Drosophila melanogaster: one gene and its partner. The protein of the gene in region 1 interacts with the protein of each later gene in a pairwise test. Each region holds a gene or a part of one and is shown on either strand. Other genes may lie near its edges.

Region 1 (4,031 bases):
GAGAACCTGAACGTCTTGAACTTTGCTTCCATCGCCAAGAACATCATCTTCAAGGAGCCCGTAATTAAACAGCATCGCGTCAGCTACTGTGGTTTCATGGAATTCTCAAAGATGTCGACGTGCGAGGGCGGCGACTACACCAAGGAACTTGAGGACGAAAACGTGCGCCTGCAGTTAGAGATTGAGCAACTGAAGTACGATCATGTGCTGCAAATGCAGCTGCTTGAGGAGAAACTGCGAAGGGAACTGACTGCCACCTACCAGGAGATTATCCAAAACAACAAGAAGCAATATGAAGACGAATGCGAGAAAAAATTACTAATTGCGCAAAGAGAATCAGAATTTATGGTTAGTAAATATAACAATATAATATAATAGTATATAATATAAACTATATATTTAACAGCTTTCCTCTCAACGCCGAAGGTATGAAGAACAAATAGAAGACCTCAAAGATGAGATAGAGGAACTTAAGAATCCTGCAAGCGACACGGACATTTCTGATGATCCAAACGAATCTAAGTCTCCCATCGAAATCCTCGATGATGATTAGTTTCTTTAATTCACAATTTTTAATTTGTTAAGTGTTAGTGATTTTAAAATTTAAATTTGAAACTTGATATGTTGCAGAGTTGGCCACGTTTTCCAATAAACATGTGAATGATCAATAAACTAGTGACACAAATAATGATGTGATTCTGTGCCAAGAAACTTCGAGCAAGAATACCAGAATCGCAATTACCATAAATGTTCCGTACGCCTGCCACATCCACTGAAAATCCACAATCCTTAGCGAGGTAGGGTGCTCTCTTTCCTTCAACTGCAGGCTGGGATCCTCCAGACCGGACAATCCAGCTGCTGTCATGTCGTAGTAGTGCATTCCCACCCAGAAGTCATAGAGTCCATTGGCATTTACCTCCAAAATAAGTTGGCTGACGGGCTCTGTGAACAAGGAATTCTGCGGCCATTGGAAAGAGAGCAGCGCCAGGGACCACAGGCAGTCATCCGTGGAGTAGATAAACAGCTCTCGGGTGAAGCGCTTCTGCTGCTCACTGAACAAATTCCAATACAGTCGGGAGGCGAAGTAGGCATTGCTTGTGTTCCTTCCATTCCTCAAGTGATTGTACTCACTCACATTGACCACCAGCATGGGCACACGCAGTTTCATCCATGTGGGAAAGTCTTCCTCGGTCGTAACCAATGGTATTTTCGTGCGACGCAGACCAGCGAAACTTCGTGCTTGAAATTGCCGTGGTGGATGAGCCATTAATGTGTCCAGTCCCGCTCCAAAAATGCTGCTCACATTAAGACCCACTATTCCAAGCATCAGAAATATCAACCTGGTGGAGAAGCTTCTCGACAAGGGCAAATTGAAGGATTGGCCCAAGATTCCGCGTAAAGCTTTATCATTTAGCACAAAGTCCACCAGACGCACATCGCGATGGGTCATGTTTCGAAGGAGATTCAAAGCCAATCCATAACTGGAAACAATAACAATAGCCAGGAACATATTGGAAGCACTGCTCAGGATAAAGTAAATATCCTTAATTGGAATTCTTCTGGCCACCGGTACCATAAGGCAGACGTGGGTCACCTCCATCGGATAGCTTGTGCTGGCCAACTGCTCGACTCGCTCCATTATCGTCAGACTGGCAGGAACATCAACTGAAAAGCTCTCGCTCAGCTCCTTGAGGGCAGTGGCATTTAGAAAGCGCCCGGTGGTCACCTTCTTGGACAGCTGCAGCGTGGCGTTCAGCTTCCACGACAGCACGTGAAAGAAGCGTCCCACAGATCCGGCTAGGATTTGCTTACCCGTTCGTCTGTCCACGTAGAGAACGGAACGCGGAAGCCATTGGTCGGGCATAACAGTAAGAGGGTGACCGTGCATGTTGGGAAAATCCTTGTCGAATATGGTTGAAGATTCAAGAGAGCGATACTCCGTTCGGAAGCTAGGATATAGGTGATATCTATAAAAGTAACGATGTTCATCTGAAGCTAAAAGTCCAACAATGTTCCAAATTCGGCGATGATAGCACGTTTCGAAAATATAGTCCATTCTAGTTGGATCAGAGAAATTGTTTGATATATAGACAATCTTCTTCTGACTCGGAAAATCCATTAGCGAACTCGTAAAGTTTTCGAGTAACGCCAGGTCCTTTTGCAGCTCATGTCCAGGCAGGCAAGCTACGTGTAGCGGCCGAGAAAACATCCGAATGTTTATAAAAGTCTCGCTATCTGAAAGGACAACCACTGGAATGGTTTGATTCTCAAAGATATCCTTTGCCCAGTTGTACGGACAATAATCAATACGAATCATTATTACTGAGAGCGAGTGCTCCGCTGCTGCTCTAAAGATGAAGTCCACAGCGGATCCCGCAACCAGGACGGGTGCCCATAAAACTATTCCTGTTATCACTGTCCACATGTCCTTTCAATTATGTTGCCCATCAGACTTAGCTGCTTTATTTATATTGTGCGGGAACTGCTCCAAGTTGAAGGGAAATGCCTTGTCAAGCTTTTCACGCCCTCGATGATAAGACACAATTCGCATTGTTTGTAATATGCATATCTCAAAATATGTATTCTTTGTTATTTTGTTACAGTTGCTAAATAGTTAATGGTGTGTGATCGTGGGAGGCGCGCAAATCAAATCGATACGCTGCCCCTTACATTTAAGTTGTTTTACAATTATTTGTCTGTTTCCTGCTGCAAATAAATATTACAAATAAATAGGTATCTTAATTATACGTGTTTTGTGTGTACATATATATATATATATGTCTGTTTTCTCTAGGTACTTAAGTCATGGTGAATGGTAAACCAATTGCCAATTATCAATTAGAAAGATTATAGGATAGATTGCACTTAAGGAGGGTTTGGGAGATTCTAAATTTGAAACGAAGTACTTCATGGAGATCGCCTGTATAACTAAGGTAGAATCATTAGCCTTAAACACAATGTTAATTTGAACTAAACGGAATGTTAATTACACGTAAAGAATGTCATGAGATTGATCTACTAACAAAGTTAGTTTGGGGTTATAACAAAATAAATACAATTAAATAATCGTTCGGGGGAGCTCAGATAACGCTGCTTAAATTTGAGCCGGCTACGGATCCGTGGTTGTTCTTCTGCGGTGTTGTTGTCGGCGTCGTTGACATTGCTATTCCATTTTGTATTCCAGCGTCAAGCAACTGTAGCAACCTTTGTCGCGTGCGTTTATCGCTGACACAAATACAATGAATAAGGTTGTTCAATTGCTTGAGAGAGTATTCATCGCCCGTACGCTGCTGTTCAATCCATTGCTCGAACTGTTCGGGCGCAAAATAGTAGGTCTTGATGAACACATCCACATAGGAGCGATGCTGTGGGTACTTTTGGTTCGATATGAGCTCTAGGAACGACATAAAGTTCGCAAAATCCAGTTGCATAAGCGCTCGTCCTCCGGCAGAGCATTTCTTCACATTGGAGAACCTATAACATAATAAACAATAACTATGTAAAATCAGATCCTTCTGAGAAATAGAAAATAAGAACGTACCCCTCCACCAGCAGATGCGTGGCCACATGGGCCATTGAATTCCACACTTGCTTGCTGGGCACTGGAACCTCCTTGGCAATTTCCTCCAGACACATGGCGAAGCTTTGTATGTTCTGCATATAAATGTGGTTAGTTTGTGTAGTGTATTAAGCATTATTTAGCATTTCCCACCCTATTTAGAACATCACTGTAGTTGCTGTGCTGGTGTATCACATGATTAACATCCCATTTGACCTTGGCCATCTGAGCCAGAATGGATGACAAATCGATGACGCGCGACGTGACGCATGTGTAAACGAGTTTAGCCAAGTCCGCAATATAATCGCTATAGTCCAGGTAACTGGCCAGGATTGGACGCTCTGCAAGGGGCAGCAAGTGGTTCAGATAGTGCTGAAGGACGTTGAACTGCTGAAGCATGCTGCGACCCGCTTCCACGGCCACGATGCGTTGTGACAGTCCGTATAAGGTATCCGGATTAGCTAGCTCATTA
Region 2 (7,736 bases), on another chromosome or scaffold:
TAATGCACGGACTCATCGAGGACATGGGACGCTTGCCGGGATAAATGTAGTTGGCCGGCGAGGCGGGCACACCGAAGCCATTGATCACGCCCGGCGTGGAGAAGTCGTCCATCTCGTCGTTCAGAATGATTCCCGTCTGGGTGGAAGCCACCTTGGAGCCGAAACTGTAAAGGGTTTATATGTGAATATAGGTAATATACAAATGAAAGTTAATAAAAAGCGCGAACTCTTGAGTTGCACTTTCCTAGGCCTTAGTCCAGACTCAAACCCGACCTTATAATATTGGTATATGGGAAAACCGCTATTCTAAACCACTATTTACACACAAATACAAAAGATTTTTCGGTGATAGCCCATTGTAAGCCTTTATGTGTATAGACAATTTTTGGACCTCCTTACACCTTTACCTGCTTACTTTATCCGCAGCATTTGCAAGTCAATTAAAAACCCTGAACGATGGCTAGCTCGTTGAGTATCAACAACTTCGTAGCTAGCGACACAAATTGGTTTCTCCACCAAGGTGAAAAAAAACCAAGAGTTTCCCCTGTCTTTCAAATGTGTGTGTTTGTCAATCGAACCTGCAGCTTCGATTCAAAAGCATGGTGGGAAAGGAGAATGTTAATATATGTGTGTGCACCGCTCACATGCACTGTTTTGTTTGTGGGAGAGAACTCTCACCACTCTTGCTGTTGCTTCGCACATGTTGGGTATGGTGAAAAGTGTCATCTAGCTTCCAACATGGTTGCGCACAGGTTCGGCCAAACCGAATGGTGTCTCTACACTGGGAAAAAATGTGCGAGCACTTTTCGTGTGCTTGCAATTAAAATAAATTTCAAAATAATTGTTTTCTGAGTTAAATTGTCTAGGAGTTGAGTGTATTGCGAATTCCATAAATCCCCAAATATCTATCTGAATACCCATCCTTAGTTCGTAATCCTTAGTAAATCCCTAAACACTAAATATGAAATTCTATGAACACTTACTAGTTATTGATGGTACTGGTGATGGACACGGCGTCTCCATTGGTGGCCAAGACATTCATGTGGGCGGTGCCATGGTCCTCCTCCACGGTGAAGTTGGCGCCATAGTAGAGGTAGTCCTCCGAAGTGCTATTGTCGTGGATCAGCTTCCTTACGCTCTCCAGGAACTCCGGCTTGAGCATCTCCTCCAGGGTGGCATTGATGGACGCGGCGCTCACGGGATCGGCATACATATCACCCAGATTGGTGCGCTGGCCATAGGCGTGTTTAAAGGCCTCCACCACGCGCTGCCAATAGATCGGCTCATTGTCCGTATAGAGATCGGCCATCAGGTTGAGGATGAAGGCCAGAACGGGTCCGCTGCTGGGCATGGGCGTGGAATAGAGCGTGTACGTGCCACTCACATGGGCCGACACGTGTCCATCGCTCTCCCAGCGCACCGTGTAATCGCGCAGGTCCTGCTCCGTAATGATGCCGCCCATCTTCTGGATATCCTCGACGAACTTGCGACCCGTCTCGCCGCCATCGTAGAACTCCTTGGCTCCATTCTCGGCAATCCGCTCCAGCGTGTCGGCCAGCGCGGGACGCTTCATGTAATCGCCCTCCAAGTGGGGATCACCGGTTGCGTTGAGGAACACGGCCGAGAGCCCGGGATCTGCCTTAATGTTATCCAGCTTGGATTGGATGGCGGCGGCCAGATAGCGCGAAACAACATGACCCTCGCGGGCCAGCTTAATGGACGGCTCGAAGAGGCGTTTCCAGGGCAGGATGCCATAGCGACGATGCATCTCCCAGTAGCCAAGAATCTCGCCGGGCACCGCACCCGATTTGGCGCCCGTAATCGACGTCTCGCCCACGAACATGTCCTTGTGCGCGGCCGCCGGTGCCGATTCCCTGGCAATCACCGTCTCCACCTTGCGGCTACTTCGCGTATATATGGTGGCCACGAAGCCACCGCCAATGCCCATTGAGTGCGGCAATAGCAGGCCCTCGCACAGCAGCGTAGCAATGGCTGCATCCACGGCGGAACCGCCATCGGTCAGCATTTCACCGCCGACCGCAGCACATCCGATGCCATTGGACACCACGGCTCCGCTGATGTACAGCGTGTCCCGATTCTTCAGACCGAAGACCAAGCCCAGAGTCAACGCCGTCACCATGAGGGCAGCCAGCAGTAGCCATAGCAAGAGCTTCTTACTCCACACAATCCTGCAAGTTGAGAATCTCATTAGAGTCAGACAATCAACGGATGCGATCGCGATCTCGATCGCCATCAGTGGCCCCAGGCCCTCAAAACTGAAGAGCTGGAGGACCTGGTCGAGTGGAGTGGTGGATCGGCGGTGTCGATTAGCTTTGATTTTGGACGCCGCTATCGGAAAACAGCCAATTCGCCGAGTCACTCGCTGGCAGGCCGCCTCGACACGGTGATACCCTACATTTCGATTTACGAACATGCTTAAGGTAGACAAGCTCATCGCAATATGTTAGTAATTCTTAAAGTTGAAAATTCTAGATGCAAATCTTCTACTGAAACGATACTACTACTACACAAGATAAAACTAAAGAAGCGCTTAACTGGTTTATATACACTATTATACTTTCAAAGCATAATATCTATATATTTAAGAGTAAGTCATAAATTTAAATAGGAGTCTAAAGTAATGGCTATACTTGAATTATGTGTGTTATTATATAAGATTTATAATGGTCACGATGGCCAGAAGTAAACAAAGTGTGAGATTAGAATAGAACGGTCTATTTGCCAACTTGATAGCCTGGATTGTAATCTCTGGACATGGACACTAGGGCACTAGTTAAATCAAATTAGCCGAATCATTGCGATCGATCTATCTGGAAAGCAGGTGAATGAAAAGCAGCTATCTGCAGATTCAGTAGCTGCCCACTATAAAGGCTATCCACAATCTACGGCCGCAGTTGAGTGATTGCCCCGCTGTGTGGAGTGTCCCATGACAAAGGGATATTCGTAGGTGCGCTTAGGCGCAGTCATGTCCACGTACCGGATGAGTCCGGACATACCCTCCACCATCTGTCCGGGGCGAGGGTGACGACTTATCGGCAATGGATGTGGAGTGCCCAAGTCTTCGATAACGTGCCATAAAAATGCCAAACAGAGATCGTAAAACTCAAGCGCTATTAACAGGCAATTTTCTATAATTAACGTAGATTTCTACGGGGGGAAAGTCGCAAGTACTTCGATTTAGTGGCCGTAACGCCGAAAAATGCGTCCTCCACATTCGCGATCCCAAATATTTCGATCGATACGATCGATTATCGCGTCCCGTCTGCAGATTAAGATCCTCAAGGGCCATCGCTTTGCAAATCCAATGCTCCATTTCTGCCCCGTCATTCGGTATGGTAAACCAACTGGATCTGCATATTATTATTATTATTATTATTATGTGCGGTTATCGTTCGACGATAAGATTCGGTTCATTCAGGCACTACACTCTCACTCCTTGTTACTTCACCTTTAATGGATTTACTACCATCGGTAGCATTGTGCTGCCTCCAATTGATCGGCAATTGTGCCATTGGCCAACTGGTCGGCTGGCTGGCCGGGATTATAGCCCCTTTATCCGCCTTTATCAGTGTGGGCATTTTCGGAATTTCAAAGTCGAGAAACCGTTGGCCGTAAAAGTTTATGGAAATGTTCTTTGAACCGATGGAGAAATAAAAATTCCGAAATATTCTCAAAACACTTGCGAATGCACTTGATTCTGAAGAGATCTTTAAACAACTGATAAAAGGTGATCAAACTGTTTTCACGGAACTCAAGTGCTGCTGTTTGTTATATGGCAAAGTACCCTTACCACATATGTATTTTAGTTAATATGTTACGGATGGCATCTTTTTTTTCCAAGATGAAAGCCTCCTGCTCCGCGAAGATATCTAGTGATCTCCGGAATGTTGACATCGTTTAATTACCAAAGATCGCAGCTGCGACATTGTACAAACGGTTTCAATCAGAAAACAGTCAGCACATTTCCATTTATCAGTGCTTTTTTTTCCCCTCGCCAAATGTGCCCCGTCATCAAAATCGAATCGTGTCTGCAGCGGAGCTCGAAGATAAGTCAGTGACGTTGCCGAGAGGAACGAAAGTCATCCTTGGCCGATTGGCGGCAGGTGCGGATCGGATGGGATCTACGACGATACAGGTGGATGAAGTGGGGGAGTACGTGTAGTAGCGTATGGTGCAGTGCTCATTTCCAGCGATAATTGCGCTGCGGGTTCTCACGAATTATGCAAAATACCGGCGGGGGGATTCCTCGACTGGAAACCAGTTTCCATAGCCGTTCGCTAATCAATTTTATGACCATAATAGTCGCATTTCAATGATTTCAATGGCACTGCCTTCGTGGGGGTCGCAGGCCCCAAAAAAAAAAAAAAACAAAAAATTCACTGCCATGTGATATCCCAATCTTATCGCTGTATATATCCATAAATTGCACCGGCTGTCAATGATCCCCGCTGAATGAACGGTCCTCAAAAAATTCGCGTGTTTCCTCTGCGGGCGCCATAAACTTCATGCCCCTTATAGCTGACCGTATCTGAGCCATATCTGAGCCATGTACACGGTACTATATCTTATGGGGCGTCGTAAAGTGGGGCAATCAAGCGCTAAACCCGCTAATTGCCCACATTCGACAGTTTTGATAAACTTGTCTTGGAACAAACGCATTGCCATGGATATGACGCATTTCGGGTGTCCTGAGATTCGGCCAACAGAGGCGGTCACAAAAAGAGCGCGCCAGTTGGATGACCGAAAATCGGATGTATCCATTTCAGCTGGACAATCGAATGGGGGGGGAGGGGGAGGGGGAGCACATGTGTGCACATTACTTAACGATGTCGTGCAAATGGGCAGATCTACCGATATATCTTATCTGACACGATCTGGGGTGTTGGCAATGCTATGCGACTTGCCGCTAAAATAATGGGGCAACTTAATTGCGGCGAGCAGAGATACCGATCTCGATCTTTCAACTTGCTTAACGCCAAATGTCTAATATCTAATAACTGAAAGTGACTAAATGATTTGTTGTGCTTTTTGTACGTTTTGTATTTACACAAGTGCACAAATAATAATAATAATAATAATCGGTTCTGTTCGGTTCGATTTTGTGGTGGCAAAAACGTGTAAAACTTTGAAACTGGGCTTACTAGCGGAACCAAAAGTTATTATAAAAAAAAACAAAAAAAAAAGCTCCACGAGTAATAATTTCTCTATTAGGCTGCATTTTAAGCCATTGCAAATTAAAGATTTGTGTCCAATTTGAAAACCGTGTTTTGGTTTCGCATCGAATTTGCACAGGTGAGACATTCATTAGAATTTTCACAGTTAGCGAAGTTAATTGTGATTTCACTGTCTCAAGGTCTACCGCACTTTTAAATATCAATATGGGCTTATTAAATTAGTTGTATACTGCAATAACTCTCTTAACTCGAAGCCAATATTATGGCGGTTATGGTCCAAAATATCCTGGCGGTTCGAGTTACAGAGTCTCCACTGTACACCGATTGCATCTACCGTTGCTTTAGTCCACTCTTACCTCATTGTCCCCGTTTGCTATGGCGAATTTCGTATAATATTGGTTGACTATTGGAGCTGAGCCGGAATAAGTTGGTCGCCTTGGCCACGGAAACGCACAGAGGCACAGAAACACACAGAAAAAACAAAGAGTCGCGAAAAGCACGGAAAAAATTATATATGAACAACAGCGGACAGATGTGCTCTTCTATGTTCTCCAAAGGCCACCGACGACAGACAGTCCCAACAAGATTCCGTTCGATTCCGGCAGCTCCCGCCTGTGACCACCAGCACCTGTTGCGATCGACTGATGGCTTCGATCCGCCCGAGTTGCCGCTCATCGCCTATCTTGTATTCCCTGCACACGACCCACTACCGCCAACGCCACCGCCGCCGCCGCAAGCGCGAAAGAGATAGCGCACAGAAACTTTGAGCTTGACCGCCAAAGCTCGGCACGGAACGGAACGGTGAACGGTGAACGGTAAACGGTAAGGCAAGGTAGCGCCGGTGACGCAACGGACGTGCGTGCAGTCAGCTTCATTGAGCGAATGTATCGATGCACAGCTATCGTATCGATTGCTCGAGCTGGGTATCGAAGCGCTTCTGTAATACATCGATATCATTCTTCTTTACATATTAGATAGTGGACTAGAGAGGAAGCGATTTCTCATCGATTTTTTCGATAAATTTAAAAATATATATACCCATTTTAGTATCTTATTATGCTTTTAAAGCCTCAATGGATTATGATTCTTTTACCTTTCCGCCAAGTATCTAAGAAATGACAATTCATTGCAAGTAAATCTTCTGTTTAGTTCAAATATTTAATTATATTCAATACATTTGCATCAACGTGCTGGGGACTCTTAATTTAGTTTTAATTGACCGTCGTTTGTGGAATGTGACTATTCAACGCCAGTGTGTGTTTCGGTCTTCAGAACAGGTGAGTCTCCCACTAATCGTGTCATTGTGCTCAATTCATACTTCTAATAATTTTGCCTTCAATTCCACAAATTTTGATGATCCTGGTAAACAAATCAAATACAGTTGAGCTGCATACGCCCTGCACTTGACAATTTTCCTTTCGTTTCAATGGATTCTTCTGGTGTTTGGAAGCAAGCGTTGGTTCTGCATCCAGTTTCTGGTGAAGATTGGTAATGAGGACGACTAGCGCCAGCGCTCGTGCACTGCCGACTCGCGCATGATAATCTTCTGAAGTTTTTCCTGCTGGGTCATCTGATCCTGCTGGTTGGTGGCACTGTTTCCCTGGTGGTGAACCGGCTGCTGCGCCCGCTGAAAGTTGGGCAACGGCGCCTTCTTCTCGTGCGCCAGTTCCGTGAAGGCCAGCTTGCGGCGCTGCTGCGGCGGTATCTTCTTGCAGTAGCTCAGCAGATGGATGTGCAGCGTGCGTTCCAGGTCGAAGGAGCGATCGCAGTACTTGCACAAATGGACGGTGGTCAGGGTGGTTCTGCTCTCCCGCGGTCGCCGTGCACGGAAGCGCACCTTGAAGTCATCGTCGTGGGTGTGCCGGTGGGCGCCCAGCAGCGATCGGATGTGAAACTTGGCACCGCACACGCCGCACGAGTAGCTGGGCAGCTGCTGGTCCGTGGCATAGCTGCCCAGCGGCTTCAGCTGCAGTCGGCCAAACGGTCCGCCCTGATACTCCCCGCCATCTCCTTCATCATGATCGGGCTTCGTCGTTCCGTTGGAGGCTTGCTGTGCGGCCATAATGGCTTCCATTTCCGCTGCCTCGGCCTCGGCCTCGTAGTTCCGGGGCGTGAGGCCATTGCGACGAGGAGATAGCAATACTGTTGGAGAATGGAGAATGGAGAATTGGTTAACTCAATATGAGATCTTAAATTAATATCACTTTTAATATACTATATTAATCAGTTAAGTACTATATACCAAATTTGGTGTTAGTAGCTTTAATAAGGCCCAAGATCATATAGATAACAGGTGTCCAAATCGATTATATTTAATAACCTACAATTGTAATCGTTGTTTTAAAATAAATTGCACTTGAAACTTATGTTTCGTGATTTATATGAGTATAATAAACCAATAAAGTACTGTACACCAAATTTGGTGTCTCTTGCCTAACTAAGCACCAAGATCATATAGAAAGAAGGGTCTTAAGTAGATGATATATGTAATGATGATAAATATATACTGCTGTTTCAAGATTTTAAAGAGTTCTAATAACC

The links. Proteins that work in one complex are often made in the same cells at the same time.
Region 2: the proteins of Ir54a (region 1) and Ggt-1 interact in a two-hybrid assay, tested with the Drosophila melanogaster proteins (one large-scale study listed by BioGRID).

Annotation. Positions count from the first base shown.
Region 1 is NT_033778.4:17,742,495-17,746,525, reverse strand, and holds Ir54a (ionotropic receptor 54a), read right to left. Parts: upstream 2,426-4,031; coding exon 665-2,425; 3' UTR 554-664; downstream 1-553. Other genes in the region: sub (subito), read left to right, coding at 1-348, 407-553; Vps50 (vacuolar protein sorting 50), read right to left, coding at 3,081-3,474, 3,542-3,654, 3,713-4,031.
Region 2 is NC_004354.4:18,506,493-18,514,228, forward strand, and holds the start of Ggt-1 (gamma-glutamyl transpeptidase), read right to left. Parts: upstream 6,030-7,736; 5' UTR 5,557-6,029; coding exon 5,552-5,556; intron 2,190-5,551; coding exon 984-2,189; intron 165-983; coding exon 1-164. Other genes in the region: CG6470 (uncharacterized protein), read right to left, coding at 6,697-7,337.